Regions from separate parts of the Mus musculus genome. Here region 2 is reported to be linked to region 1. Evidence: microRNA targets listed by miRTarBase, many of them from high-throughput screens and not tested one by one. Region 1 holds a microRNA gene; the other region holds the end of a gene's coding sequence.
The links. Region 1 holds the annotated microRNA mmu-miR-763 (CCAGCUGGGAAGAACCAGUGGC, at 5,470-5,491, opposite strand). A microRNA usually pairs through its seed, bases 2 to 8, with sites in the 3' UTR of a target mRNA and lowers its output. Matches are read on the target gene's strand: a 7mer-m8 pairs with bases 2 to 8, a 7mer-A1 pairs with bases 2 to 7 and ends in A, and an 8mer does both.

Region 1 (16,183 bases):
TTTGTTCATTACAGAAACAGGACAGGTCCATGTCATTGGCTACCTTGAGAAATGTCAGTCAACAAAAAGGGCGGGCCCTTGAACCTGTCACCCAGTGCTTAGCTGGCATGATGTAAACCAGTGGGCTAGGTCAGCGGAGGACTCTTCCTATCCAAACTGTTCTGTTTTTGTTCTACACAATTTAGAAACCAAAGAACCCACCAGATCTCATTCCTTTCCTCCCACCCTCTTCCTCTTCCTTCTCTACTCTCCCCAGATACAACGTGGGTTCAACCGGTTGAGGGCATGTGACGCCAACCAGTGTGGATGTACATATGTTTACACCTCAGGCTCATGTCATCCATTTTACAGATTATCACTACTTACAGGAAATATGGCTGCTCACATTAATGGGGATTGTGAATGCTGCCTAAAGTTTGTGGTGAAGCACGTGAGGGGGAAGAAGTGGAGAAAGATAATAATTACTTCATTTTCAAACCTCAAATAGGTATACAAATGTCCCAGAGAGAACAGATATAATGGATCCGGTCTCCTTTTCTTCAACCCTGACAATATTTATAGCATATCCTTGGGTAAATTTCTTTAGGGTATATATACGCTTAATTATTACAGTACTTTACACATATAGTATAAAAGTTCATTCTCACAATGTCAAAAATATGTAAATGAGCTACCGTACATAAAAGGTACCAAGATATTTCTAGTCACTTGTGAACAACATTAAGAAATATAGATGAAATGCTTCATGATGCGATTTATTATGGCTGCGATTTAACCCAAATGGTTATATTGCACGTAGGCTAAATGGAAGCACAAAAATTCATTTGTAATATGTTCTTGGAAAAAGAGGGTTATAGTCACACTGCAACATTAACGCTACTTGAATTCAAACCATTTTTCCTACTGTATTAAATATTTCCCTGTGTTGGGAGCAAGATCTTGAATAGCGAAGCTGGTGCTGTTCACCAAATGAAAACAGTGAGCTTGTGCTATTCATAAAACAGCTGAACAACCACGTTGGTAATAGAAGACCTCAGAGAGCCAGCAAAAACAAAACCAACAAACAAAAACCCACCATTGTTTTCTTAATAATCATAATTCTTTTTTTCCCTGTGTGATTTTTACCTGCATAACACTACTCAAATAAATTGACAGTTGGACCCCAAATTACTGTCTTGGCTGCTACGTGGCATTCTGCAAATCTCTCAAAACCCCTTACTTAAGTCTGCTTCACCCCCCCCCCCAAAAGCACTTACTTACTCTCTAGAGTGTTACAGGAATTAGGTGTCCTGGAGCCCACAGCGCCTACGCCTGGTTAGCAGGTTGGAAAGTAATAAGCACAATGGAAAGGGAACCTACTTGGTTACCATGGATACCTTAGATCTGAAGAACTCCTATTTGGGGTGCTCATCAGCCACTACTTGCACAAAATCCCTCACGCTGCCTGGACCTGCATGCGGTCATAAATGTTTAACTGCATCCGTACAGTGTTCTCCAAGTGCTCTGAAATGGCACAGCCATGCTGTGGGAAACCAGTCCTTCCCCTGGTGCATCTGCACTGCCTGCTACCCGTCCAGAGACCTGAAGGTTTTATTTGGCCATCCGTTTTGCAGGACTGAGCCATTTCTGCTAGATCGCTACAACTGCTTAGCTAGAATCAGCCCCAAGATTAATTTCTGCGGCAAGTCAATTCACCCTGGGATGCTACAGCTTACAAAAGGTTTAAAAGCTCTCCCCGCACTGTAGGGGCTCCAACTCTAGTAGTCTGGATAAGAGGGGCCAGGGAGACTAGTAAGGTACATAGCCTTTACCTAGTCACGTGAAAGCTTCCAGGGCATTTCCTCTGCATGAATCCCAAATTACAACCGACTTTTCTCAACATCTGACCCATGCAAAGGAAGTTTCAGTGATATATATAATATATATGCATACATACATACATTACATACATAGACATTAGATCTGTGAAATCTAATGATCCTTGAAGCCAAAGCAGTTATCTTAAACTCACCAGAGACACATGTTAGCCCTCTTCCCAGATGTTCATTTTATCCTACAGGAGGATGGTACAGGCGACTTGGGAGACCAGGCCTTACACTGGTGCCCTGTTTTGGCTTAACGGCTTTAGTAAACCAACAGAAACACTTTGTCCCATAAAGATAATTGCACAACAAAACTTTTATCTTTTCCAGATGGCAAATGGGATGTCACTCAGTGTGACTTAATGATCTGGCCCCCACAGGACTCTCTCTAGATTCATTTGCCTGCTCCGCCAGAGTGCCTACTCGTCGACCGCAATAGGGAGGCTAGTCTCTACACTAATGAAAGTAAGAGCCAGGCTGTTGTCAGGAGCTGGGCATGGCTGGAGAGAGGCGTAAACAGGGGCGTGGCTGGAGACGATTGGTCATCAGGGACAGCTGGCAAGATTGTTTATGTCCTCTACATTCACCATCTCTTTCCTCTCCATGGTCTATGGTTGCTCTTGTCTTCACCATTCTCTTGGGATCTTGACCCACAGCCACAGTTTGACTCTTTCACCCGTGGCCCCTGTTTTAAGTCTTCAGCTCGGCCCTCTCCCCTAAACTCCACATATATATCTAGTTGGGTGTGTAAGCGTTGCTTCTCCACATAACCCTTCATGTTCATTATTTTTCTACAGAATTTTTTTTTTACCTAGTAGGTATAATATCTGTATCTTATTTCCTAGCAAACATTTTCCTTATTTTTTTTTTAACGTCCTAGAATACAAGTGACTTCTAACAGCTAACTTCCTCCATACGTGCACCATACTGGTTATTTTAAAATAGTATCTTAACGTAATTTCAGAAATGCTTACTTTTTCCTTATATAGCATAGTCTCCATGTTTGCTGCAAGATTCTGAGAACAGATAAATATCTAGTCCCAATGTACTTGAAGTCGCATGGTGGAATTAGGAAAATGCTTGTGTATAAACTGATTCTCTTCACAAAATAGGTTGGCATGGTAGCATATCAAGTATAGTTTATTCAGAAAAGAGTCACATATGTCTTTACTGAATTCACTCTTTAAGATTTTGTTTTCCGGGATAGAAAGATGGCTCAAGAGTTAAGAGCATTTGCTCTTTGTTCAGAGGACCCAGGTTCAATTCCCAGCACCCACAGGTTGACTCACAACCATATATATAACTCCAATTCTGGAGACTTTGACAACCTACCCTCTTCTGGCAGACACACACAAGGTACTCAGACAAAATACCCATACACATAAAATAAAACAAAAACATTAAAAATTGCCACAGATGGGCTGGTGAGATGGCTCAGTGGGTAAGAGCACCCGACTGCTCTTCCGAAGGTCCAGAGTTCAAATCCCAGCAACCACATGGTGGCTCACAACCATCCATAACGAGATCTGACTCCCTCTTCTGGAGTGTGTGAAGACAGCTACAGTGTATTTACATAAAATAATAAATAAATCTTTAAAAAAAAATTGCCACAGATACACAAGGTACTTAAATCATGCAAATGGATACATTCATGGATGATCGTAGACAGAGGACACTGAAAATAGTGTTTTGAAAAGGAAAGAAATGTACTTTCATAGTGAACTACATTCATGGATCGATGAACAAAATATAAAGAAGTCTGATTTGCCAAACAGGAGCTCAGTTTTGTCCTCCGTGATCAGCAAATATTTTTTTTTCCTGTAACTGTCGGCTTCCTCTACTCAGTTACTGCCTAATGATCTGTTGAAGTGATACCATCTCCTTCCCGGTCCGCAGAAGTGCCCTCCCCCACCCACATGACCATGCTCCATCTTCTAGAGCGGCATCTTATGCCCGTGACCTTGAACAAAGCCTAAGCGAGAGAGCCTGGTCACTCTGTCTTGAAAGATTTCCTTTCCAACATCTGCTGCTTCCTATTTTGCAATCTCACTTGCAAACAGTGGTCCTCTTGTCATAGATATTTATGTGTCTACGTGTCAGGAGCCAAGAGATTAGCGAGAGCAGCTACTCTTTGGGGTAATTGATGACATAACACTGCAGAAATACATTTGATTTTTTGTTTTTTGTTTTTTGTTTTTTTAAAAAACTTTTAATTGCATGGTTTTAAGAAGCCATTTTGTGAGATTTGAGTAGACCATTGTGTGCTTTTCTTTTTCTTCTCCATTCAATGAATTTGAACACAGAAGCTACTATTTAATACCTAGATATTAAACACACACATACACACCCAAACCCTCTATTCAAGGAGCATGGGGACAATCATAGAGGAGTACAGAGACAACCATAGAGGAGCACAGGGACAACCACAGGGGAGCACGGAGACAACCACAGGGGAGCACGGAGACAACCACAGAGGAGCACAGGGACAACCACAGGGGAGCACAGAGACAACCACAGAGGAGCACGGAAACAACCACAATGGATCATGGAGACAACCACAGAGGAGCAAGGAGATAACCACAGGGGAGGACAGAGACAACCACAGGGGAGCACAGAGACAACCACAGAGGAGCACGGAAACAACCACAATGGATCATGGAGACAACCACAGGGGAGGACAGAGACAACCACAGGGGAGCACGGAGAAAACCACAGAGGAGCACGGAGACAACCACAGAGGAGCACTGTAACAACTACAGATGAGCACAGGGATAACCACAGGGGAGCACGGAGACAACATTCTGACTCTGGCCTGGCTTTCAGGTGGCTTTGCATTAAAGGATCCCCCTTACTGCAATAGTTAATAGACTTTTTTAAACCCTTAGAATGCTGAGTTTTTAGGCTGTATGTTACTCTCTCGTGGATTCAAGACATAAAGGCAAAAACATAAGGATGCCTGTTAAATATCACAGAGAGATCGAAGAAACCCAGGAAGGTCCCTATGGGGGTGGGAGTTGGTCCCCCCCCTTTTTATTTTTGGAGGATTTTATTCTGGAAGAAAAATAATCACCACACACACACACACACACACACACACACACACACACGTCTCAGTCCTTCAGATCGTATGTAAAACCTAAGTGTAATTTGCAAAGGATAAGAGAAGCAAGTTAAACACTTTATACTTTCAAACCTCAGACCAAGATAGGATTACCAAGCTAAACGGCTTCCTTCCTTTCCTTTCCTTTCCTTTCCTTTCCTTTCCTTTCCTTTCCTTTCCTTTCCCTTTTTCCCTTTCCTCCCTCTCCCCCCCCCTCTCTCTCTCTCTCTTTCTCTTTCTTTCTTTCTTTCTTTCTTTCTTTTTCTTTATGGGAAAGAATGGGTAAGAACAGTCATAAAACATATAGATTACTGGGGGATGAGTCAAATGACCCAACCTACACACTCAGTCTCTTGAACTGGTGCATACTATTGGAAAGGACATCAAACCATAAAAATAACTCATATGTCTGTTATGTTTTTCCATTTTAAGCTTATAATAGCAGTAACGACCTCAGCAAAAGACATTTCCTTGGAGTTAATGGCTGGCTGGGAGGCAGAGCCGAGGGCCACTGGTTCTTCCCAGCTGGTCATTAATCCCCAGGAAACGCCTGCACCTCCATCATTATTGCTAAAGCACCATTACAGAAATTTCTCACAGTTCCAGGGTACGGAAATCTGAGGCTACTTTGCAAGCCCACGGACTTCATGGGAGTTAATAGGCCACCACTGAGCACAGCACACACGTAATTATCAAAATGACAGAAGGGAAAATATTGTTCTCCCAGGTCTGTAAGATTATAGGGAATGGGGACTAGCCTTATGGGAGGGGTAGGGTTGAAGCTAAACCACATTAATTTAAAGGCAGAATAAAATCGCCTATATAAAAATCAGTTTAAAAAAAAAAAAAAGACAAGGCAGTTTACTCCTATTACATAGTCTTAAAATATTTTTAAAAGATACAAATTAAGGTTCTATATACACTTCTTCCTAATCCAATAATGTCATATTAAAGAGAATGGTTATAATAAGGAGAGAATTGTATACAACCGGTGAAGTTTAAGGGAATGAGTACCTTTGAGAATTGGGGGATATGTTTGGGAAAATTCATAGGCATTCACCATTAAATATTCATGCAAACATTTCACCCTAGACTTTCTGCCTAGAGAAGCAAACCAGAACCTCACTGACCTGAAGTTCTACTTTTTGTCTTAAATAGAGGCTTAGCATATGCAAACAAGTGCCCTGAAATTTGGAAATCACAGACACACTCTTAGTGTTCCGCACTACCGAATTTAGATAGCTTTTTAGAAATTCCCAAGCTTACAAGCTTCATTAAAGACAAAAATTAGACGCTTTCAAATCTATTCATTCCCCACTTTTAAAACACTGGGCCCAACCACCAGTTCAAAGGAAGGAGGTAATCTAAAACTCACACCCCAAACAGCCTATAAATCTTTCCAACGTGTTCTTATAACAAACTGCAAATGTTGGCCACAATGCTTTAGATTTAATGAAACCCCTTGTACGTTCTCCTGGTGGGTTACAAATACCTGCCTTATTCTAAGTGAGCTTGAAGCTGAGGAGGCCTGGCACAGGTGACATTGCATCCCTAAGAAGATTTCTTGAAGTTCTAACTCATGTTGCATCTACAGGAGTGAAGCCTTACTTGGGAACAGGGTCTTTGAATTCATAGTCAAGATAGGGTTACTAGGGATCCTAAGGGGGGAGGGGCGTTTAGAATACAAGCCTGCAAGACCTCCCTTGGCAACAAAGTATACAGAGCATGGCCACACCTTAACAGAGTGGGGTGCCCAAAAACTAAGGAACATTAATAATTATGAATGATCAGGAAATTGATTCTCACATAGAAGCTTGTCGAGTATACGGCCCCACACCTGTAATGCCAGCATTTGGGAGGCTCAGTAAGATCACTGCAAATTCAAGGCTAACCTGGGTGAAGATCTTGTCAGAAACAGGAGAAAGAGACAGACAGACACAGACACACAGACACACACACAGGACGGGGCAGGGGGACAGAAAGAGGCACGCAGAGAGAGAGAGAGAGAGAGAGAGATCATGCATTACTGGCTTCTGGAGAGCAGCATGACCCTGTAAAAACCCAATTTCTACTTCCCAGAAATGTGAGAGAGAGAGAGAGGGAGAGAGAGAGAGAGAGTTTCTATTGTGCAAAGGCACCCAGGCATGCAGTACTTTGTTACATCAACCCTCAGAAAACGTAATACAGGACTTGGGGATTGGGGTGGGAGAGGGGGAACCAGGGCCAACATTACAAATGGTAATGGAGGAAAAGTCAGAAAGTCAGGCCAACAAGTTGAAGCCATTCATTAGTTAAGGGGAAAAGCAACGGACTGGCAGTCAGGAAACCTGGCTCCCGTCGGGATAATGACTGACGCTTGCGACCAGGAGCTGGACACTTAATTGCTCTCTGCTTTGACACTGTCATCTGCAGAACATGAGAAGCTGGGACTCCATAAGCTACGGACCAAATCCAGGCTCCTATCTGGGGAAGCGGAACACGAATCAGAGCAGCATTTTAATGCTTTCACAGTTTCCAGTTTTGGCACCGCGGGGTGGGGGCGGGGGCCTCAGTGACAGGACACAGGAACACAGCTGCGTCTTCATCTGCCACCAGCCAGGTCCGCACCGGCAGGCTGCACACATTCATGTGAACCCGGTAAGAACGGAAGAAGCCTGCCATGAAATAACAGCACGCTGCTCTGGTACTGGTTTATGGATGTTTGAAATGCTAGGTTTGCTTGCTTGTTTGTTTCCGTTACTAATATATAATAAATATATATAATTAGTTAAATAAATGTATATGCATATATATATTTGAACATTATTTGTCATTAAGAAATATTTTCTTGGGGCTGGTGAGATGGCTCAGTGGGTAAGAGCACCCGACTGCTCTTCCGAAGGTCCAAAGTTCAAATCCCAGCAACCACATGGTGGCTCACAACCATCCGCAACAAGATCTGACTCCCTCTTCTGGTGTGTCTGAAGACAGCTACAGTGTACTTACATATATTAATAAAATAAATCTTTAAAAAAAAAAAAAGAAATATTTTCTTAAGCTGGGCGGGGTAGCGCACACCTGTAATCCCAGCACTTGGGAGGCAGAGGCAGGTGGATTTCTGAGTACTGGCCAGCCTGGTGTACAGAGTGAGTTCCAGGACAGCCAGGGCTACACAGAAAAACCCTGGCTCGGAAAAAACAAAAACAAAAACAACAACAAAAAAAAAGAAATGTTTTCTTTTAAAGTGCCAGTAGGAATAGTATTAGCCCAAAGAGGAAAAATAAAATCACTCTTGTAGAATACCATGGAGTAGGGATTCAGGCTCCAATAGGGCACTGGGTATATTATTCTCTATGTATCTACATATTCTCTAAAGGGCCTGCATAGTAATTACTTATGGAGATGGTTCATTATATTCAGGTATAATCGCTGTCATCTAACTACTGAAACCCCAGACATGACCAGTAGAATACAGAGGGTCTTTCCATTCTAAAGTGGTAACGTCAGGCTAAGGCTTTGCTTCAGGTGTACGAGTGTGTGCGAACATGCATGCATGTATAACATATGTGTTCTGCGCACATGCGTGTGTGTGTGTGTGTGTGTGTGTGTGTGTGTGTGTGTGTGTGTGTATGCACGTGTGCACATAAAAAGATGCATGTAGGGAGACCCACGGCAGTGATAGTGTTGCCTACTGCAGGTGCTCCTAACAATGTCAAGGTGATGAGGTTTGCCTGCAGTCCACGCTAGAGACTGGGTTAGATGATCACGGTACAATTAAGAGGGTAGTTTGCCCACCAAATATCTCTTTATGTGGACACATCTATCTATCTATCTATCTATCTATCTATCTATCTATCTATCTATCTATCTATCTATCTAGATTTGAGGGTTGGCAATCAAACCCCAAAGCTCTGCACCTTCTATGCCCATGATTAACCACGGAGCTACATCCCCAGCTTCTAAGTGCACGACTTTGAAGACAGACTTGAACGTAACCCAAAAGACAAACAGGTACTCAACGAGGCGCGGTGCGTGTGGCCTCAGGAAAAGCAGGTGTGTGCTGCACTTCTGTGCCAGTTTCCCTCCTTGGCCTCTCAAATTGGCACGACTCTTAATGCAGTAAAGTAGAGCTTACTCCAGGCAAGTCAGAAGCTGTGTGCCAAGCCCACCTATGATTCTGCTTGGGCTAGCCAGCTATTCATAAGAAGGAAATCTCAAAAATCACCCATACAGCCACAGGTAGGAAACACGGGCCCCTCTGCCAACGCTTGACAGCCAGGCCACGTTCTAGGATATTTAAAAGACATGACGTATCTCCATGTCTGTGGAAACTGGCGAAGTTGAAAATTCTCAAGTAACTATTTTAAAAGACGGCGCTTCTGGTGATATATTTCTGAACCTATACGTGGGATAAAAGTAGTTCACAGCATCATCTTTACACAGACACACACAAATAATTACATGCAGAGCTGGGAACCCAGAGTATGATAGCTAGGAGGTTTGGTTAACAGCAACATCCTAGTTGAGAGAGTGTCACTACAGTTTATACAGGCCAGAGCATCATCGTTCAGTAGTAGAGGCTTTGGGCTGATCCCCAGAGCTGCAGAGAAAAATAGGAGAGAGAAAAAGGCACCAGGGTGAGGGAGCTGGACAAAAATATACACGGCATTTCTTACAACTACATGTGAGAGTCTCCAGGAAGACAAGGATTGTCTGGCTGAATTTTGGAGGAACAGGGGGAAGAAGAAATAAAGGCAAGAAAGCCACTTGAACAAATATCCACAGGCAAGACTATCAAAAGATTCTCTTCCAACTCAATGCTTTCCATATCTAGGAACCTGGAGGAATGTAGAAGGCTTTTCTACTTGGGGGTATGTGTGTATGATGTATATGTGTGTGTGTTTGTGTGTGTATGTGTATATGTGTGTATGTATGTGCTTGTGTCTGTATTTGTGTATGTGTGTGTATTTGTGTATGTGTGTGTAGGAGTGAATAAAACACAAACAATATAGGCAAAACACAGGATGTCTCAGAAATGATACCAAATCAGCTATTTTTTTTAATAAAATGTGTTCTCAAATGCCATGATATTATGCAGATCTTAGAGATGCTGCATTAAGTTAAAACTCATTCGTCCCGACAAAAATCTTTTTAAGATCCTTTAGCCCAATTATAAAGCCAGAGCAATGACCTTTCCTGGGTTGGCTACCTGGGACTGTATCCACACACATTTGCCTCAGCTTTCTCATGGGAATTCCAGTTGGGGGACCTAGGGCTGGGGGGGGAGGGGGGGGGGTTGTGCTCACATTTGAGGGTTTCTACTTCAGATCCCAAGAGAGACAGAAAAACAAGTCAATTTATTGAGTGTTCACTAGGTGCCAAGCACTGTGCATTGAGCTGTCCAGACCAGGAAGGGTGGGCCCCGTGTGTGGTGAGGATACAGGCTCAGGCCCCAGACATAACATCACCCTACCACCCTGCCTGTTCCCAATCACTGGCTTGGGAGGCCAGAAACAATTCAATGATTCAATGACTAAGGTCACGGACAATCATGAAAGAAAAGGCCTCAGGGAGGCAGCCCCCAGGACTCTCTTAAAGACAGCTGCCCCCTGACAGCTGGTTCTCCCAGGATGTAAGAGCATGCAAAGAGACTGCAGGAGCACTGAACCAAATTCTATTTAGAATACCCAAATGTATATATGATCAGGGCCGAAGTTAATGCGAAACAAGCCTAAGTTGAGTAACCAACCCCCTCAAAAAATATATATGTAGAGGAAGGACACTTGTTGTGTGAGCCCTGGCTGTACAATTAGTGGCTTTCAAATATAGAAGCAAGAGCGCTTACAAATATTCTTTAAGCGTTACGGTGTTTAGCACACTCTCTTTTATCCCCAGTTTTAGTCTGGGTGGATTCAGCTGAAGGATTCAGTTTTATCGCAGGTCTCCTCAGCTTACCAACCTTCTTCCTTCCCAACCTTCCCACTTAAAGAATATGCCTCTATAGACGTGGCTATACCTTTTTGTCTGGAGTCCCTACAACTGTCTGGTCACTTTCACTCCAAACAACCTTTAATGGGCCAAGCCGTTTCCTCCTCGGTCAGATATGCCTACATGTTCTAGAAGAATGTGACAGCTACTACCTCAGGAGGTGAAGTTCTCCAAGTCTTCCTTCCCACGTTCACCACTCATCTCTCTCATTCCCACTAACATCACTTGGCCCTTTCTAACGCACAAGTGGCACCTCCAGTGCCAGAACTTTAACCTTCTAATAACAAATGCAGATGGAAATGAAGTATGAGTTAATGCTGCCTAACTTGGGGGTGGGGAGGCTGTAGAGGTGGCTAAAAAGCTAGGGACAGTGGCTGTTCTTGCAGAAGACCTGGGTTTGGTTTCTTTGCACCCACACGGTGGCTCACGACTCCAGCTCCACGGGATCTGACACCCTCTCTGGCCTCTGCAGGGCTCACAAGGCTCACAAGGGGAAGTCTACCATGCATGTGTACAGGCAAAAAGATCCATGCACATGAAACAAATACCTTCGATGGGAAACAAGGGTGAGGGTGAAGATTTTGAGCAAAGTTTTGAAGCTTACATGGGTGACGCAACCAAGTCCATTCTTTTGTTGTACAATAGTGTTTTTATGGTTGAGACTTACTAGCATCTCTTTAGGATTATATGTGTTCCAAGAGTTGTAATTTAGGAGGACACAGAAGGAACAACTGTCATCCCCAGGTATGATATGAACAGGTTGGACTGGAGAGATGGCTCAGTGGTTAACTAAGAACACCAACTGCTCTTCCAAAGGTCCTGAATTCAATTCCCAGCACCCACATGGTGGCTCACAACCATCTGTAATGGGAGCTGATGCTGTCTGATGCTGTCTTCTGTCATGAAGGCTTACAGGCAAATAGAGTGCTCATGTACATAAATAAGTGACTCTTTAAAAATTAACATCCAAACCATAAAGCTAGAAACTCATTAGGTCAGAAGCCAGCCAGATAAAATTTTCACTTCAAATATGTATCAGCAGATTGGAAAAAACGAGACTTAAAAATGCCTGGGATGTTATGTGAAAAGGGAAAACTAATTTGATGCATACCCACGGCTTTTAATCACAATGACACAAGTCACACCATCCTGAGCATCCCTTGGGAAGGAGGCTACTGCACAGGTATCAACAATGGCATGTCCCAGATACTGTTGTAAATATTTAAGAGATCTGCCTGGGAAAGATGTGAGATGGACTCATGGTACCTGAGCACAGGTAACCAGCCATGTGGCAAAATGTAGATTAAAATGAATGGCTTATTTTAGTTCTGATTAGTCAGAGCAGAGCCTAACTATATGCCCAAAGTATTTATAAGTATATCTTGAATCTGAGTCTTATTTCTCGGAGCATGGGGCTGGAAGGAAGAACTTGGCATAACTTCTACATCCAGAAGAAGAAAATTAGGTTCATAAATGTATACACACATACACGCACACATACAAACACACATGCATACACACACACACACACACACACATATATATACACACACACATATACACATACGTATATGCATACAAATATGCATACATGTACACATATACACACACACACACATATATATACACACATACACACATATATACATATATACACATATACACACATACACACACATATATATACACACATACACACATATATACATATATACACATATACACACATACACAAACACACACACAGGCTAGCACTTGAAGAGTGTTAATAAAAAATGCTTTCTGCATTCAACTACCTCCCTATAAAACATTGGTAGTATACCCACTACCTCTCTACATCCATGTAAATTATATAAGATGCCCATGGAAGATTTCCCCCCCTTTTCTTTAATGTCATGCTAGTACTAAAGTGTATCGGTAAGGGAACGGAACACAAATAGGGCATTGGAATGAGTTTCTGTCTACAACATGAGAAACTACCTTAGAAAACTGTTTTGTGAGGTTTAAACCAACAGTGAGTTCATCTTTTGGGAGATAATCCAAAATTGGGTCAAAAAGTCCTTTCAAGGGGCTGAGCTCAAATCTATTTTAGAAAGCAGACTGCCATTTCCAGAAGTGAAGAGGCAGAGGCTGAAGTGACACGAGGCGCAATCCTTTGGGGGCCTGTGAAATAGACCTATCACCAACTTACCAAGCCTCGAAACGTAAGCTCGCATTTGAAACTAATTGGGGGCAGTGCTTTAGTGACTGCAGGTTGTGTGCACTTAAACCCAGCACTCAGGAGGCAGAGGAGGGCAGATTTCTGAGTTCGAGGCCAGCCTGGTCTACAAAGTGAGTTCCAGGACAGCCAGGGCTATACAGAGAAACCCTGTCTAGGAAAAGAAAACAAACAAACAAACAAACAAAAACCCCACAAACCGTCAGATTTAAGAGAAATCGAAAAGCCGAAGAATGAATGCCCACCTACATTCAGAGAGCTTGCTTTATAACATAGAACTTATGTACAGTAAAGAAAAACTGCATTCTAGATGCTAAATATTAAATATTGCTTTGGCCTGAAATGGAATAAATGCCAAGAACTAGAGCGAACGTATGCACGCTTGCCGGACAAAGCTGCTCGTGTATGTCTTCTCCTCACGGGGCTCCTCACACCAATGAGAAAGCTTTGTCGTGTACGCATGGGCCTGGCGGCTGGCGACAGTGAGTGACTTGCTATCTGAGCCCAGGCAGGCTATTAATGACTCTGTCTGCTCAGTTCTCTCCTGTCTCCAGTGCTACAGGTCAGAGGTCAAACATACAGGCCTATGTGCTCACCTGTTCACACACATATATATATGTATTCATCACGAGCTAGGATCTGCATATGAGAGAGAACGTGTGATTTTCTTTCTGGGTTACAAGTCCATCCATATTCCTGCAAATTCTACAACTTCATTTTTCTTCACAAGTGGATAATATTCCATTGTGTTAAGTGTAGCACACTTTCAGTATCCACTCCTCTGTTGACGGACATTTGGCTTGTTCCATCTTGCTATTTTAGGTAGAGTGGAAGTAAACGTCAACTATATCTACTGGTAAGACATGGAATATTCTTGTGCAACAGCTGGGTGGTGTGGAAGCTCTGATGGTTTTTTAAAAGCATATTATTATTGAAAGTTTTTAAGGGAAAATAAATGATCTTGTATTTACCAATTCCATTTAGCTGACTTCAAAAAAAAAAAGTTATATATCAAGGTTGTTTTGTTCCCTCTGACCCCCATTCAACCTTAAAATTGTCTGCATTCTGACTACTGGATAACTCTTCCTAAACATTGAAGTTATATTTCAAGTTATATTTCAAGGCAAGTGTTGTTACAATGGGTACAAGTTTTTCAAAAGGAAGCATACATCTGGAGAGTAAAGAAATGGAAATGGAGACCTTTTCTGTCAAGTAGATTTCCAGGTTCTTCAGCACATGGGTGCTTAGAATCCTTGAAAGGAAACAGTTTCCGTTGGTCTGATGAGATCCAAATTTATTTTGAGTTAGTATCTCCTGCTAGGTCCTCAAATCATCACTTATGTTATGAGATGGCTACAAAACAGGCAAGACAAAAACTCCCTTCTTGTTGATCTAGACTCTTCAAATGTGTGACTAACAAACGAAATGACATCACTTTCCTGTGTGCCGCAAGCTCTTTTTAATAAAAGTAAATGCCCCTGGAAGGAGGCGAAGTGGAAATGTATATTTTTAACTTAACATCCTGCACACACCCCATTGCCAAATAAAGACTATCAGCAGCCAAGGAAACAGCTGGGACTGTTAGTGACTTTCTAGTGACCCTCTAAAGTCGGCACCTGATCCTTGGGTCAGTTTCTGGGTCAATTTTATGATCTCCAGAATATTTTTTTTCCTTTTGAAAAAAGTAAGCATTAATTTCTATTAAGGTGTATTTTTCTCTCTTGAAAAGGTTCTAAAAATAGACCAGGTAAAGGCACTGCTAGTCTTCGCCCTCTTATTCCATGTGCTATTCCCTTGCTTCTCTTCTCCCAGAGGCCCTACTGGCCTTCCTAAGAAACATCTGGATGGTATGCTTCTCAAGTGAAGAGAGCATCTTTCCTATTTCCTTATGTTCCTGAGCCTGAATCCCACATTCTCAGATGTTTTCTAAACATTTTCTGTCTCTGGACCAGTTCAATGATAAGCGCCTCTTCAAGGCAAAATGGAGACACACAGGTCCTACCTGAATGTTGTGGGTAAGAGAACTGACTACTGGGATGATACAGATGCTCTGAGAACTAGAACTGTCAAGTTTCTACACGTACATACTAGGTAAACAGCATACAAAGTACTTCTCAAATTAAATTAAGGCACAACATCAAACTTCTACTATAAAGAGAAAGGGTTTTGGCATCAATGTAAAAAAATTTTCCCTGAGTGTGAACAGACATAAAACCTAGTTTAACATCACCAGTAAGCAAGTCTTAACCTTCATGATAAGCAATAGACACACGCTGAAGACTCGGTACACCAAGGGAATGTGGTCAGCATGGAGTGTGATTCTCACTGGGCCTCATGCTGTGTATAATTGAAGTGCAGGCTGTAGTTAGCGTTAAGGGGGGAGCATGCCAATGTGTTAAATATGATCTCTAATGTTTACCAAGCACCACACCTTGGGAGTTGGACTGAGCCTTCGCACACTTCTCACTTAACACTCACACAAATTCTGAGACTCGTACCTTGTCCAGAGGAGAAATGGAGCCTTGGGATGATCACATAATTTGTTTAAGATGATACTTAGTTGAGTGGTGGGTCAAAAACTTGAACCCCCAAGCCCCCCAAACCCTGCTCCTTGGCCTTGGCTATGAAGGAAATGTAAGTTCTGTTCTCTCACTTCTTATTTGCATACACAGAGACTGAAAATCCAGAAAACTATCAAAATTATAAATCTGCAAACTATTCAAACCAGCAGCAGAAGAGACCAAAGGAAGCAATGGACAATAGTGGTCCTAACCATCTCTAGTCAAGATGCTCATGGGGTCACTGGACCCTCCAGAGTCCTTCTAGCCATCTCTAGTTAAGATACTCATGGGATCACTGGACCCACCACTTCCTCATCCTTTCTAAGGGGCAGAGCTCTCTTCAGGTTCACACATTTTTGGCAAACCAACTCTTGATTAAATACCCAACTACTGATCCTCATTAGATTAAACGCTCTTTTCCAGGCAGGTTATGTAGGTTTGTAAGATTAACAAGACAAGGGTGCGTATCTGAGGC
Region 2 (16,183 bases), not on the chromosome of region 1:
GGCTTCTCTGTATAGCTCTGGCTGTCCTGGAACTCACTTTGTAGACCAGGCTGGCCTCGAACTCAGGAATCTGTCTGCCTCCCGAGTGCTGGGATTAAATTAAAGGCGTGCGCCACCACGCTCGGCTTCCATGATCTTAATGTGCTGTAGAATGCATGCACGTCCAAAAGCTCTACTCTTACTGCTACATTTTAGGAATTTGAGGACCCAAGGGATGCAGATGATGCTGTTTATGAACTTGATGGGAAGGAACTTTGCAGTGAAAGGTAAGCATGATTGGTTTATAAGTAGTTCTCCCAGGGAAGTAGAGCAGAGTAGACATTTGCATATGTAAGTGCTCTCATGTGTAGTGTGTGAATGCTTTTTTTACCTCTTTGTAGGGTGACGATTGAACATGCCCGGGCTCGGTCTCGAGGTGGAAGAGGTAGAGGACGATACTCCGACCGTTTTAGCAGTCGCAGACCTCGAAATGATAGACGGTATGTGGTTTGGGTTTGGCTGTTACGGTTGGGTTAGGGTCCGTTAGCATTAAATGGTTCTCAGACTAGTTAAGTCTAGTTAGTCCACATGCTGAGAACCCAGAAACTTGATGGAATCACTATCTTGGCTTAAACTTGTCACATAGCATTTGACATTGTGACATAACATCTGACACTGAATGCTTATTTTTCTTTCTTCAGAAATGCTCCACCTGTAAGAACAGAAAATCGACTTATAGTTGAGAATTTATCCTCAAGAGTCAGCTGGCAGGTTTGTTGAAATACAGTTTTGAGATATTTTTTAATGTGGCATTTAAAAGTGTTAATGGGTAGTTAATGTTTTATTAATATATATCTTATTAAATGCTTTATCTTAAATTAATTTAATTGAACTATAATTTTAAACTTTAGTTAAATGTAACTGGGGGATGTTTCAGATTTTAATATTAGTGATCAAATGTAAATGTTTTGAGGTTATTTTTTCATGTTTTTTAAAATCAATTTTAACCAAATATTAAACCCTTTATTTGCCAGCCTATCTGTGTCGTTGGCCTTATGACGAGGAGTGCCTGTGGGTTATCCTAATCGTTGTCTTGGTCACTCTTGGTTGGGCCTGGTTGACTTTGCCAGTCAGCTCCTACAGTGATCAGTTGGCCACCTCTAGATCTGTGTTTGCCGGTCTAGACGTAATCGGTGCACTTACTTGAAGTGCCGGGTTGCAGCGATCCCAGAACCGTTGATAACGTGATCTGATCCCTAAGTTGAGAGCTGTCTTCCTGTAACGCTTCCGAATAAGAGGTCCTGGTCGAAAGAGTTGAAAGATACGAAATTAGTTGGTCGTTGGAATCCTGATCGCAGTAAAGTGGTCCTTGGTAACTGCACAAGAGTAAAACATGTCTGCATCGCCAGTAGTCTGCTAATAGGGAGGGCTGTGCGATTAAAGGCTTCCATCGATTGGGTAGTATCCTTCAAGTGGGTGGCGAAGAGCCAGTCGGGCCTATGTCATGAAGGTTTCTCCGACCGCTTAATGGTTTGCTGCTTGACTAGCCTAGGGAAATGTTAATAAAGGTAAAGTAAAATTTTTTAATGACATATGGGGCACAAAATAACTGGTGTCTTTGTAAATGTTGTTTTATTTTTTTATTTTTTATTTTTTTTAAATATAAAACTAGTCTTTAAAGGATGTACTGTTCCTTTTTGTTTTTTTTTGTTGTTTGTTTTGTTTTTTGTTTTTTCCCCCTTTTGTACTGAGCTCAGTTAGACTAATACTATAATGTTAAAAAATTGGAATGCCCTCTAGCATTTTGCTTAAAAGCAATATGCTATTTGCTTATTTCGTGCCCTGGCATAATTTTTGAATTCTGATAGAATACAAGTGTGGTATATGCCATGTTTGTACTTTATCTAACACCTTCTCTTCCAGTAGTCTTGTTTATGCCATGTGGTTGTTTGTGTGCCACTTTTCCCTTTCTCTCCTTAACATAATTGTCTTGTGTTAAGGATCTCAAAGATTTCATGAGACAAGCTGGGGAAGTAACCTTTGCGGATGCACATCGACCTAAACTAAATGAAGGGTAAGCATGTCCTGGATTGTGAGTCTTAATTAATTACCTTGGGAATTTTAATTGTGGCATTGCTATGATCTAAAATTTGCATGTGCTTGATTTTGGCTAAGTTTGGGGAGAAAGACTATCACAAGGGACTGTTGATAATAGGCACCTGCAACATTCCACAGTACATAGGGGGGCACACCACAGAATTGTGCTGTATATATCAGAAATGACTTAAAACAGCAATAACAACAGGGATAAACTTATGCTTATCTTGATCTGTGTAGGTGGTCTACAAGGCTATTGGATTTATAACCTTTAAAGGGATTTTTTTTTCCTTCCATTTTAGGGTAGTTGAGTTTGCCTCTTATGGTGACTTAAAGAATGCTATTGAGAAACTTTCTGGAAAGGAAATTAACGGGAGAAAAATCAAATTAATTGAAGGCAGCAAAAGGCACAGGTACTCTTTCGTTTATATTTTTAAGCCAAAGGTTTTACTTGCTGGCTTTTAGAGCCCTGTCATACAGGTTAATGTGTGTTTTCTCTCTTTCCTTCTTGCCAATTTTTCATAGCAGGTCAAGAAGCAGGTCACGATCTCGGACCAGAAGTTCCTCTAGGTCCCGTAGCCGATCCCGTTCACGAAGGAGCAAGTCTTACAGCCGATCAAGGAGCAGGAGCCGGAGCCGGAGCAAGTCCCGTTCTGGTAGTAGGTCTCCTGTGCCTGAGAAGAGCCAGAAACGTGGTTCTTCGAGTAGATCTAAATCTCCAGCATCTGTGGATCGCCAGAGGTCCCGATCCCGGTCCAGGTCCAGATCAGTTGACAGTGGCAATTAAACTGTAAATAACTTGCCCTGGGGGCCTTTTTTTAAAAAACAAAACAAATTCCCAAACCATACTTGCTAAAAGTTCTGGTAAGTATGTGCTTTTCTGTGGGGTGGGATTTGGAGGGGGTTGGGCTGGATTTCTTTGTAGATGTGGACCACCAAGGGGTTGTTGAAAACTAATTGTATTAAATGTCTTTTGATAAGCCTTCTGCTCACACTTTTGTGACTGTCTGAAGTATATAGTTTGTGTATATTGATAGAGCTCTTTTATAACTAAAGCATTTAATTTTTTGTACTAGAAAAACTTTTGAATATTTTAGTTCATTGTTCAGATATGTTAACTCAAGATTAGTTTAATTAAACTAACGAATAGTTTTGGACACTTTAAAAGAGCTCTAAATTTGCTTGTATATAAAGGCTTAATATGAGTTTTACTTGTTAGGGTCAAGGGTGTCTTGCCCATTAACAGCTGTAGATAGACATTAAAGTAAAGCAGCTGTTTGTTATTGATAATAAAATACTAAGTATTATAAAACTGCTTTTGGTCTGTTTCTCTCAAGTTCTGTATTATTTATTCTATCACATTTGTGTATTTTAAGTTAAAAACTACACATGTAGAACCCTGAAGTGTAAGCTTTTTAAAGTATTTTATTATTTTGCTATTTGAAGCTAGTGAAGGAGCCTGCAAATGGATTGAAAACTACAGCTAAGTTGAGTGACAGTTCCTTGTATTCCTTCAATTCTTTCCTGTTGCCACTGGACTTGAATTACCATCAGGTTACTAACCCTAAACAGAAAGGGCAGTGGTTTGGTAAACACATAAGATCCAGTGCAAGTTTTCTTGTCAGATGTAACAGTTGGGATGGTCATAAATGTAATTTCTCAATGATTGAAGGCATGAGAGATCTTTACATGCTGGTTTTAGTTCTGAGATACGTGACCATATGTTTTATTTAGGTTTTTAAAGGTGTGTGTGTGTAGAGTCCTGGAACTCAATTTGTAGAACAGGGTGGCTTTTTCTTCCAGTTGCTGAGATAAAGGTGTGTGCCACCACCATCTGGCTAATTTGTGTGTTACCAGAGGAATTTAAAAAATTTCTATCATGGGTATCTTGGCTGCATGTATGTATGTGCATCAGTTGCAAGAAAGCCAGAAGGTGGTGTGGGATTCCCTAGAACTAGAGTTAGAGACCATTATGAACTGCCATGTGGGTGCTAGGAATCAAACTCCAGGTTCTCTGAAGTCATCTTAATTGCTGAGCAATCTCTAGCTGCCTACTCTTGTGGGAGTGGGCAGTGCCCTAAGTGTAGGAAATGTTATTCATCTTGAAAGCCTAGTTGCCAGGTGCGAACTTGGTGAATATTTGATAGCAGATCATCTTAATATCTGAGTGCTGGGGTTGAGTTAAATCCTCCTCAAAACTGTATTACAGGAAATGTAGGGGGCTTTTCAAAGGACCAATTAAGGATCCAGGACTAGAACAGGCGTACTCATTGGTGAGTAGAAGTAGGAAAGGCTTATTTGCTTCCTCAAAGTGGGAGTTAGGGAATGAGCTAGCATTTGGGAGGTGTTCTAGGGAGAACTCAGTAGAAGGTTTCGGTAATAGATCATGAACTGTAGCTTATCCTGATAAAGGCTAAGTCTAGGAGTAGTGGTATGCTTATTCACTTTTTTTTTTAAAAAGATTTATTTATTTATTATATGTAAGTACACTGTAGCTGTCTTCAGATACACCAAAAGAGGGGGGGGGTCAGATCTCATTACTACGGGTGGTTGTGAGCCACCATGTGATTGCTGGGATTTGAACTCAGGACCTTCAGAAGAGCTGTCAGTGCTCTTAACCTCTGAGCCATCTCTTCAGCTTATTTACTTTTGAGGAGACTAGATATAACATTGGCAGAACCTGGCATTCTCTTTTTACCAGCCATCTTAACCTGCCCTTTTAATGGGGATCCTCTTTAGTATATAAGCGAACTGTCAGGTTGAGTACTAAGACCTGAGATTTGAGAAGTTAGAAACAGATTCTTTTGAGACAAGAGTTTCACTGTCCTCTGGTCCTGGCTGGTCTGGCTTGTGGTATGTATTACATAGACCAAGCTGACCTTAAACTCCTACACCTGCCACTGCTGATGTCGCTACCTGAGGGTTGTGATTTCAAGTGTGCCCCCCACAGCCTTGATAAAACTTACAAAAGGATGTTTTAGGACTAGTTTTTTGTTTCATTTATTTCTAAGGATAGTTTGAAGCCCCAGGCCAGCCTTTCCTGATTGGTTATTAGATTAGTTTATCACATCTTGTACATGGTGGCAATCTGGATGTTTAGAGAAGTCATTGATCAGATGAGCCCCAAAATGTAAAAAAGTTAATATTTTTGTGACATAACTAGGCTGGCTTTCAGCTTAATGTAGCTGATGGCCAGTCCAAAGTTGCTTGTGTTAGAGACTGCACTAACATTAGAAACCTAAAAAAGACTGGTGCTGGGGCTGGTAGTGAAAACTGCTCTTCCAGAGCTGAGTTCAATTTCCAGCAACCACATGGTGGCTCACAACCATCTGTAACCATATGACAGTATTCTCATATACATTAAGTAAATAAAATCTTGTAAAAAAAAATGAAGTAGCTTTAAAAACAAAGACTGGTACTGTGTAACACAGACTGCCTTCAGACCTGAGGTAAAACACCTGCTTTTCAGGGTGTGTGCTTTAAAGGTGTCTGCCACTGCCATCTTAAGAAAGGTGAACCCAAATGCTTGGTCATTCTTGTGAGTGCTTGTTAGTCCTGCAAGTTTGCCAAACAAGTGCCCTGATGTGGCTTCCGTTGTACACTGTCAGTGATGGAAAATACAAAAAAGTAGTTTACCATGTTTAACCATGTATGCAATGGGTAGTTTGTTCATCTTTCAGCCATTATTTTAGTGTGAATAAAAGGTGAAAAAATGTTTAGATTTCATAGAAGAAATCTGAAGGTTTGAGTATTTTTCTGTACAGTTCCTTCAAGGTTTTGGAGTGCTTGATGCCACTGTAAACTGATAAGAGTGTGGAATTATGTTGGCTTGTTATGGCTTTTTAAGAATTTTTTTGCTTTCTGGTATTTCTGGTACCTTTCATTGTGGGTAGTGGGTAGCAGTTTTGTCCTATTTAATTGCTTTTGTCTACTTGGTATTGATTTTATATAATTGAACCCAACTTGTGTGGAAAAGGAAAAAGAATTAAGATTGTTTGGTAAGTTAGAACTACCAGTTGTAGTTTATTTCCTTTTGAGTTACAACATGAAGCAGGTTGTGGATGCTTAATGAGCAAAACACCTGCTTATTGGAAAGTCTAGAAATAGTGATAATGTTTATCAGATGTAGCTGTTTCATAGAGCCTTCATAAGAGTTCATAGCTGCTGAAAGTGTTCTTGGTTTCTTGAGACAGTCTTGCTGTGTACTCAAGGTTGACCTTGAGTCTCTGAGCATTGGAATTATAGGGAGGAACCACTTTGCCTAGTTCTTTTTTATCTTTTAAACAAATAGCAGATTTTTGGGGATGGATGATGGTTCCTGGATAGATGCCCTTCTGCCTCAGTTCATTGCTTCATGATTCTGCTGTTGAAGGTTTGCTGGAAGTGCTAGACAATCTGGCACACTAGGTGTTACTTTCCTTGTTGCTTCTAAGTTTTCACATTCTAATTTGCCATCTGACCAGAGTTCAGGCCATTAGGGGAAAGGCCAGGTTGTGTAGGAGGATTATTCCCGTTGTGGGTACCTTTTTCCAGAGCTGCTGGAGTAGCATCTTCTGTTGCAGCAGCCTTGTAGGTAATTTTTGTTTGGTCTGTAAAGTAAAAAGAGAATGAGAGTAAAACTGGCTTGAATGAGGGTGGGTCCCTATTTGAATGCTTGTTTTTCACTGGGAGGAGTTGCTTGAGAAGGATTAGGTATGGTCTTGTTGAGATGTGTCATTGAGGGTGAGCTTTTGAGGTTTCAAAAGCCTGCATTTTATGTCACTCCTAATTAACCTTTGTGTGCCTATTTGTGATTTTGTGGATCAGGGTACGTAAGGTCATTTACTGCTCCAGTGTCTTGCCTGCCTGCCAGTTGCCATGTTCCCTCTCATGATGATAATGAACTCTAGCCCTCTGAAATTGTAAGCTCAGCTCAGCAGTAGAATAGTAGCATGTACAGACTTTCTTGGGAAAAGAGAGTTAGCTAAGACAGACAAAACTTACTCAAATGCAAGAACTCAGGGGTGTGCTCTGTATTTGTATCTACTATCACTCCTTTCAGAAAGATTTGCTTTTCTTTTGAGATCCCTGGTGTGGTAGCACTAACAGATGCTTTGTGTGATATTTTCATCACTGTGGGTTTAGGTGAGTAATAATGACTTAAATTCTGAAGGACTTAGAAGCAGGAAGCTTTGATCAGGCCTCAAACTGCCAACCCCTACCTTCTTCAGTCTGAGTGTCCCTCCGCCCCATGTGGAAGTGGTGAGGGACTTTGAAGGTGGGTGTCAGGGTCCTCCATGCTCTTGCACTACAGTAGAAATCTGTTTTGGGTGCAGATCATAAGTTCTTGGGGTCAAAACAAAAAAAAAAAAAACCCAAAAAACCCAAAACCCTCAGCCTTGGTTTTGGAAATACATAGTAGAAGAAACTGGGTTAGGAAACGGATTAATTTTTATTTAAAAGACACAAGGATGCTGGGGATATAGCTCTGATTGAATGCTTGTTTAGCATGCCCAAGGTTCTGGGTTTGATTTCTAGTACTAAAAAGACATGACTGGTCACGGTACATGATGTTGAATTTGAGTACTTGTTGGCTGGGGAATCTCCAGTTTGAGGCTAGCCTGAGCTACATACAGAAAACAATGCTCTGTACCATAAAAAACCAAAATGGTTTATAAAGAGTACTTTGGGTGAGATGACTCAGCAGGTAAAGGTTCTTGCTGCTAAGCCTGGATGACTCAAGTTAAAACAGTCCACATGGAAAGAGCATCGATTCCTTGGAGTTCTCTGATTAAATGGGTTTGTATACATAAAGACAAAAGCCCTTTAAGGACTGGTATTTTTGGCGGTGGGGGTGTATGAGTGTTTCTCTGCATGTATGTCTTTGTTCTGCATGAAGTCTCTGGAGGAAAAGAGGTTACCCTTTAGGACTGGAATTGTTGGCTTCTGAGCTGCCTTGAGGGTCCTGTGGAAGAGCAACTAGGTGTTCTTAACTACTCCAGCCCCTGCAAGTGCCCTTAGTGGTTGAGATGTGTCTCAGTTTGAGGGAGGGATTCTGGGCTTTTTTGAGAATAGCATTCTGCAGATAATGAATTTGCTCTGAACACTTAAAGTAATAAATTATTTTTAAAAGAAAAAAGTAAAATAATTTGAAGATTATTCTAGTAATTAGTATAAATCATGCCAGTTATCTGAGATTAACTGACCAGAGTGGAATCATGGTTTGGATTCTGTTGTATTAGGCCTGTTTCAAGTTTTCCCTATGTTGGTACTAGGGCTCTGACCTTTTTTTTTTTTTTTATTTGTTTGTTTTTGTTTTTTGAGACAGGGTCTCTGTATAGCCCTGGCTGTCCTGGAACTCACTCTGTAGACCAGCTGGCCTCGAACTCAGAAATCCACCTGCCTCTGCCTCCCAAGTGCTGGGATTAAAGGCGTGCGCCACCAGCTGGGCTCTGACCTTGCAGAAAGCTGAACACTAAAGAATGCTGAAGCTTTCCAAATTAAAGAAACCCTAGACATGTTTTAGTTTCAAGATCGTTCTCTGTAATATTGAAGCTTGTCTTACAAAGTCAGGCCCATGAGAACAACGCCAGATGCATTAACTTGGAGTAGTGTTACTGGTGAAAATGACCTTTACTCTTCAAAGTCGCTGGCATGCTGTTTTACCTGGTTCCAGTTCCTACTTGGAATCTTTTGTTGGTAGCTCAGGTCCAGAGCAAATACTCATAGGAGATGAGTTCAATACTTACCCTTCTGAGGTTTGATTTTCAAATAGCACCGGAAGATAATAATGAAGAGAAGTCCTTCTGCAAGCTGAAAAATCATATAAAGGAGAGGAAAGAAGAACAGTGGTCCAATGACTTCAGGGGGGAAGGTGACATTGAGGATGGTAGAACAGAGTTGGACGTTTTGGAATCCTGTTTCCATGCTGATGGTGCGTCTGCAGCTGTGTGAGTGGGAAGAAACAAGACAGTGGTCAGCTCTGGGGCCTGTCCTTCCCCTTTCTGATGCTTTAGACCTACAGCATCCAGCATTGGAAGATGGGATCCAACCCTAAGAAGATAGTGACAAAAAAGGCACAAAGTTTATAAAGGCTGTGTGTGTGCATGCATGTGTATGCACATGTATGTGCTTGTATCTCTGCATGCATGCGTATGCTTGGGACTATGAGCATTGTATATACTAGGCATGTGTTCTACATCCATCTGACCCTAAGGAGGCCTTTGAATAGTTTGGAAATTTTGTCTGCTTTTACAGAATTGCTAAGTTAAAATTTGAAAGTGACTGGCAGATAGGTGACACTGGAAGTGTTAGCTTGTCTTTTTCTTTATTTTTTTAAAAAAAGATGTATTTGCTTACTATATATAAGTACAATGTAGCTGTCCTCAGACATCCCAGAAGAGAGCATCAGATCTCATGGATGGTTGTGAACCACCATGTGGTTGCTGGGATTTGAACTCAGGACCTCTGGAAGAGCAGTCAGTGCTCTTAACTGCTGAGCCATCTCTCTAGCCCTTAGTCTTTTTTTTTTTTCCCCCTTAGTCTTATAGTTGCACTTTGAGCAGACAGTGGGAGATTGAAATGTGGACTTCATCCTGTGTTTCTTTGTAGCTTAACATATTTTTTTAAAACTTTTATTTATTATATGTAAGTACACTGTAGCTATTCTCAGAAACCCTAGAAGAGGACATCAGATCTCCTTATGGATGGCTGTGAGCCACCGTGTGGTTGCTGGGAATTGAACTCAGGACCTCTGGAAGAGTAGTCAGTGCTCTTAACCACTGAGCCATCTCTCCAGCCCTTAACATAATTTTAATTCTAGAACTGGTCATTATGTATCTTTGAAACCTGCTCCCCTAATTTTGCTTTCCATTTAGTGCATTGAAGAGCAGAATGTTTTAATTGAATACATTGCACCTTTCTAACTCCCAAGTGTGTTACTTGTCCTATTTAGCATGTTAGGCTTACTGTGATGGCCCTTGGTGCTATGGCCATTGTGATCTGTAGCTCCCAGAACTAGTAAGACTGTAGTACTATGGTAATGGGCAGTCTTTTGCCTGTGTAATACAAGCACAGTTATTTAATTGTTATCAACTAGGTTGTAATAGTGGATTTTGTATTTTGGAAATGAGTTTCTCTTAAAGTGTAGGGGGGAGATGGTACTAATGCAGCAGCTCTCAACTTGTGGGTCACTGCTCTTGGGGGGTGGATGACCCTTTCAGGGGTTGCCTAAGACCATTGGGAAACACATATTTACTTAAAATTCATAGCAAGATTAGTTACAAAGTAGTGACAAAATAATTTTATGGTGGGGTCACCACAGTATGATGAAGTGCATTACAGGGTCACAGCATTGGGGAGGTTGAGAACCATTGTACCAATGTTTAGACTCCTATGTAATTTATTTAGGCTGACAGGAGGAAAGGACTCTGTTTCCATAGACCCTCAGGTTGAATGTTACTTTACGATGGCTTTATTTGTTTGCTTGCACTATAGCTAAAGGCTTTGAGCTTAGCATGGCTTCCATCTGACATTGTCCTTGTTAAGGATTCAAGCCTTGTTAGAATAAGAGTGGGCAAGGAAAAAAAGCATTGGCGTTAAAGCTACTACAATGACATCAAACTCCATGGTGTGATTTAACATCGGGAGAGGGCAGACTTTGCCTTTACCACCTTCCCATCCTAAGTCCTCCCCCCCCAGCCCCCCAAGTATTTCTCATTGCTCAAAGCCCTCGGTCAGTTGGTGCCTTTGAACACATGCTTTGGAAATGCTCTGCCCTTATCTCAAGGTTCCTTATTTCTAAAAAGACTTAAGAGACACCCTGAGGACATTGGGACCTAGAAGACCTACCTTGGATTTAGTCGGAAGAGAGCAGAGAGAATGTAGCCCATCAGGAAGCCAGTGAAAGGCATCAGGGAGGAGGTAGCCAGTAAGTGTGGTGTCATGACGAACATGATGCTGTTGCCCACATTGATGACAGACAGGACTGTGACAGCCACAGAGAGGGAGAAAGTGATGATCATGCCTGCCTGGACATGGGGACAGAAGAGACCATCAGAAGGTTGGGAGTGGGCACAGGAGTGGGGAGACTCGGTAGGAAATAGGAATTCAAAAAACCTTTATCTTGGGTCTTTTTGGATTTATTATTAGTAGCTATAAAAATATTTGGCTAATACGTTAATGACTAAAACCTCAACCAAGCACAGCCAGCTGCTTTTGACATAGCTCCAGACTGCTGTGAAATTCTCAAGTGTGTAACTTTGAAGGGATGAATCTGGTCCTATGAAGCTGATACAGCATTTTCAGTCTGTGTATACATTTGCACAAGATGACATACACATATTTTGGAGCTGGTTAGAACCAGTCATACTTTCTCAGCTTCCATTACAGGGAGAGACTGAAATGTTATGGAACAGCAGTTCTCAACTTGTGAGTAGCAATCACCAAAGGGGTTGAGCAACCCCTGTCCCCCAAATCACTGAAAAAATACGGATATTCGCCGGGCGTGGGAGGCAGAGGCAGGCGGATTTCTGAGTTCCAGGCCAGCCTGGTCTACAAAGTGAGGTCCAGGACAGCCAGGGCTATACAGAGAAATCCTGTCTCGAAAAACCAAAAAAACAAAACAAAAAAAACCCAGATATTTAGTTACAATTCATAGCAAAATTAGTTAAGACGTAGCTATACTAAAAACAAAAAAAGCCGGGCAGTGGTGGCATATGCCTTTAATCCCAGCACTTGGGAGGCAGAGGCAGGTGGATTTCAGTGTTCGAGGCCAGCCTGGTCTAGAGAGTGAGTTCCAGAACAGCCAGGGCTACACAGAGAAACCCTGTCTCGAAAAAAAATCTAAAAGCAATAAAAATAATTATTGTTGGGGTTCACTGCAACACATGATCTGAATTTAAGAGTGCAGTATTAGGAAGGTTGAGAACCACTGTTTTAGGGTAAACTGGATTTCTGGAAATTGCCAAGAGTCATTTAAAGCAAAGCAGATACAAAAGGCTGTTGGTTGAACCAGGTAGCCTATTTTTGACCCCAAATGATGTGTAACCCTAAAAAGTCAGCTCGCTTGTGTGACCTGGAAACTAGATGAGAAAATTCTAGAAGTGTGTCAGCATTATATCATGCCCCTCCCCCAGGTAAGTGCTGTACAAGCATTTACTGGGGGGTAATGGCATGTTTTTAGAATAAAACTAACTTTCCAGTTGCATCTTCTGAAGTGACTGCTTAACGATTTCGTCGTGAGACATGAGGATGTGAGTTTTCAGAGTGTACTTCATGCTCTTTTGTAGCATGTTCCAAAATGACAAAAATGTGTAGATTTAAGTCTTTGTTTTTTCATCTTTTGAATAAAGAAATAGCAAAAAAGGAAATCAGTGCTCATGTTACTTTGTAGTGATTATGCTCCCACATGGTTTTAAAGTTTCCTTTTTTTTTCCTGTGTGGGATGTTCACTTTTTTGAGACCCGGTCTCACTATGTGGCCCTGGCTGGCCATCCTGAGCCTGCTATGTAGAGGAGGCTGACAAGAGCCGAGCTCTTGGAGGATTATGGACAGTCTCACGTTCTTCTAGGGCAAGCAGTGATCTTTCTTCCTTCACGCTGGCCATGAAATGCTGGGAGTGTTTATTCTCTTCTAGCTATTGAAATCTACCAAGTTTGCCCTGTTGCTTTCTATTTGGCCTCCAGGCTTATATGAGTCCCAACCTTTGTGACTGGCACCAGCCCCTCCAGAAAAGCCTGACCTTTCTGGTCTTCGGTAGTCGTCTTAAAGACTGTCAGACTTGATTGTCTGCTATTGGGATCTTATTTCTCTTGTGTGCGACTTTACTTTTTTCAGATGACAAACTCAGAAGACAGCCCTCAAGTGTATGGCAGAGACTTTAAGCATCAAGAAACATAAGTTTAATTTTATTTTAATTCTATGAAGGGTGTGTGTTTGTGTACAGGGTTCAAAGGCAGGTTCCCGGGGTGATGCTGCAGGGAAGTCCTGTGGCTTCAGGATATAGAGCCTTAGATGTGAAGGTTCTCAGGTCATTGGGGACACGATACTGAAAAGGCACAGGGGTCCAGTGCTATCCTTTCTTCTACTCTTGCCTTGGTATATTTGTACCCGACCCAACACATGCTCATGCTGTGATGAGCTGCCCTTGCCAAATGACCCAACATTCAACTCTAACCCCTAGGGCAGCTAGTCAAAGTAAACTTCCCTAAGTAGACGATGTGGTGGTAGCTCGGTTGCCATGTTCTATCAAGGGCCCTGAGTTCTTACCTTGAGGACGTAGGGTACATAGTGTGGCCTTTTGGACTTCAGGAAGATCCCTATGGCGCAAGGAATGAGAACCATGACGAGTGATAACATAATGCCTTTGTAGGGCACCTTGTCCTTAAGATCTCCGTCGTAGATTCCTTTGCTGTAGATGTATAAGAGGAGAGGCATCATGCCCAAGGCAGTGAAGCTGGAGCAGGTGGTCATCACAATGCTGAGTGGCCAATAAGGGAAAAACAAAGGAAAAGCCAATTAGAGGTTTGAGTTCCTTCCATGTGCCTGACACTATGCTTCATATCTTTTTGGGCAGTAAACATACTGGTGTGTGTGTGCGCGCATGCGTGCGCACACGTGCACTTATAAAAACACTGAATACTAGAAGAGTTGACTTATTCCGGATTGGACATAGTAAGTGGCTGATAGAAGATATAAGAAGCACAAGCCTTTCCAACTCCTTCAAACCACATATATCATTGGAGAAGGTGCCATCTGATTCAAAAAAATGCCATCTTTAAGCCGGGCGTGGTGGCGCACTCCTTTAATCCTAGCACAGAGAAACCCTGTCTCAAAAAGCAAAAAAAAAAAAAAAAAAAAGCCATCTTTTCTCCTTCCTTCCTTCCTTCCTTCCTTCCTTCCTTCCTTCCTTCCTTCCTTCCTTCCTTCCTTCCTTTTGGTTTTTCGAGACAGGGTTTCTCTGTATAGCCCTGGCTGTCCTGGAACTCACTTTGTGGACCAGGCTGGCCTCGAACTCAGAAATCCGCCTGCCTCTGCCTCCCGAATGCTGGGATTAAAGGCGAGCACCACCACTGCCCGGCAGCCTTTGAGGTCGTATAGCCTGACCCCACTCCCCGTTTGCTTGTACTAATTTTTGTAATGCAGATAAAATTGATCATCCAGCTTCCCGTGCCTTCCTACCTATTGCCATGTCTTCCCCTTTATGGTGGATTTGATCCCTCTGGAAGTATAAGCCAAATAAATAGTCTCAAACTTTTTGTGTAAATGCTAGAGATGTCTCCAGTTAGCACCGGCAGCTTCCAGAGGACCTGGATTCAAGTCTCAGCACCCACATGGCCACTCAGATATACACGTGACGGCTCACAACCATTTGTAGCTTCAGGTCGGGGGGGGGGCGGGGGGGGGCGATCTGACTCCCTGTAAGGAGGGCATCAGGCAGGCACATGGTTCACAGACGCAAGTAGACAATGTACCCTACAACACAAATGTGTATAAATGCGATGCAAAAGTTTAAAATTCTTTTGATTTAAAAGCTGATTCTGAAATTCAAGTGCAAAAGTAGAAAGGTAAAGATTGTTAATGTTTTCATGAAGATATGTCGACCTGTAAAGTCACTGAAATTAAGAAAATGTACAGGTAGAAAGTCATAGCGATAAGATGGTCCAGACATAAACTCAAGTGTATTTCACTAATAAGAGAGGTATTGGAGGAAAGAAGTGAATGATGCTTAATATGTATTTATATGGAAAATGCAAGTCTAGGTCACTCATAAAAATAAGTTCTAAGGTGACTTAAGGTTTCAATGTGAAAGGCAAATATTTTCAAGATTTTTAAAAAACATAGAGGAAATATCTTTGTAGACAGTAGAGGATTTATTAAACCTCTAGTCAAGCCAGGCGGTGGTGGCGCACGCCTTTATAATCCCAGCACTTTGAAGGCAGAGACAGGCGGATTTCTGAGTTTGAGGCCAGCCTGGTCTACAAAGTAAGTTCCAGGACAGCCAGGACTATACAGAGAAACCCTATCTCCAAAAACCAAAAATCAAACCAAACCAAAATAAAAACAAAAAACAACCCCCCACCTCTAGTCACGAAAAAAAACCAAACCAAAACAAAAGCCAGTAGAGTTAAGTTAGAAGCACTGTATAAGGCATCATTAAGAATATGCAAGTAAGCCCCATGCTGTGAAGAGACAGTATATTCAATTCACTTTGGAGCCCAGCTTAGTCTACAGAGCAAGTTCCTCGACAGCCAGGGCTATGCAAAGAAACTGTCTCAAAAAGCAAGCAGGCAAGCAAACAAGCAAGCAAGCAAGCAAGCAAGCAAGCAAGCAAGCAAGCAAGCAAGCAAGCAAGCAAGCAAAGACAAAGCCTGACCATTCTAAATAAAAAGATGCAGAAAAACCAGGTTCCCCCTCCCCCCTTTGAAGTGTGAAGTGGAGCAAGTCCAGCTTCCTTGCTGAAGATGTGTGAGTCCCATCATCTCCAGTTCCTGCTTTTACTACAGCAAGGGGCTGCCTACGGAAGCAGGCCATGAAATCAGGGCTGTCACACAACAGATGAGTAAGTGCCGCAAACTGCACGCAGCTCAGGTACACGTGGTAGTTTATTGACATTCTAGCTGTGCTGGCTAGTTTTTGTGTCAATTTGACACAGTGAGGGTCATCTGGGAAGAAGGAGTCTTAATTGAGAAAGTGCCTCCATAGAATTGGCTTGTTGACAAGTCTGTAGGGTGTTTTCTTGATTGAGGATTGGTGTGAGAGGGCCCAGCTTGTGTGTGGTGCAGTACTGGGTGTTGTAAGAAACCAGACCCACACATAGACACACACACACGGTACAAACATAGACATACATATGGTCCAGACATATATGGACACAAACACATGGCACACACACACACACACACACACACACACACACACACACACACACACACACATTAAAAGGAGGGGGCTGGAGAGATGGCTCAGTGGTTAAGAGCACTAACTGATCTTCCAGAGGTCCTGAGTTCAATTCCCAGCAACCACATGGTGGCTTACAACCATCTATAATGAGATCTGGCACCCTCTTCTGATGTGTAGGCATACATGCATACAAAACGTTATCTACACAATAAATAAATCTTAAAAA

Region 2: the mRNA of Slc10a1 is a reported target of mmu-miR-763. Seed matches in the 3' UTR shown: 7mer-m8 at 8,498-8,504 and 7mer-m8 at 8,428-8,434.

The regions. Positions count from the first base shown.
Region 1 is chr10:120,442,583-120,458,765 of GRCm38, forward strand. It overlaps Mir763 (microRNA 763), which reads right to left and starts at 5,528; the gene lies at 5,409-5,528. The region is part of intron 3 of Hmga2 (high mobility group AT-hook 2); the gene reads right to left. It overlaps Gm51785 (a long non-coding RNA gene), which reads left to right and starts at 8,422. Exons shown (of 4, transcript XR_003948969.1): 1 at 8,422-16,183.
Region 2 is chr12:80,947,116-80,963,298 of GRCm38, forward strand. Slc10a1 (solute carrier family 10 (sodium/bile acid cotransporter family), member 1) reads right to left here. Exons shown (of 4, transcript NM_011387.2): 2 at 13,324-13,534; 3 at 10,906-11,084; 4 at 8,377-9,001. The coding sequence ends at 8,794. Srsf5 (serine and arginine-rich splicing factor 5) reads left to right here. Exons shown (of 8, transcript NM_001079694.2): 3 at 196-266; 4 at 381-479; 5 at 681-750; 6 at 1,980-2,053; 7 at 2,379-2,489; 8 at 2,605-3,391. The coding sequence ends at 2,863. Among named protein-coding and RNA genes, the nearest start is that of Srsf5, 9.7 kb to the left of the region's middle.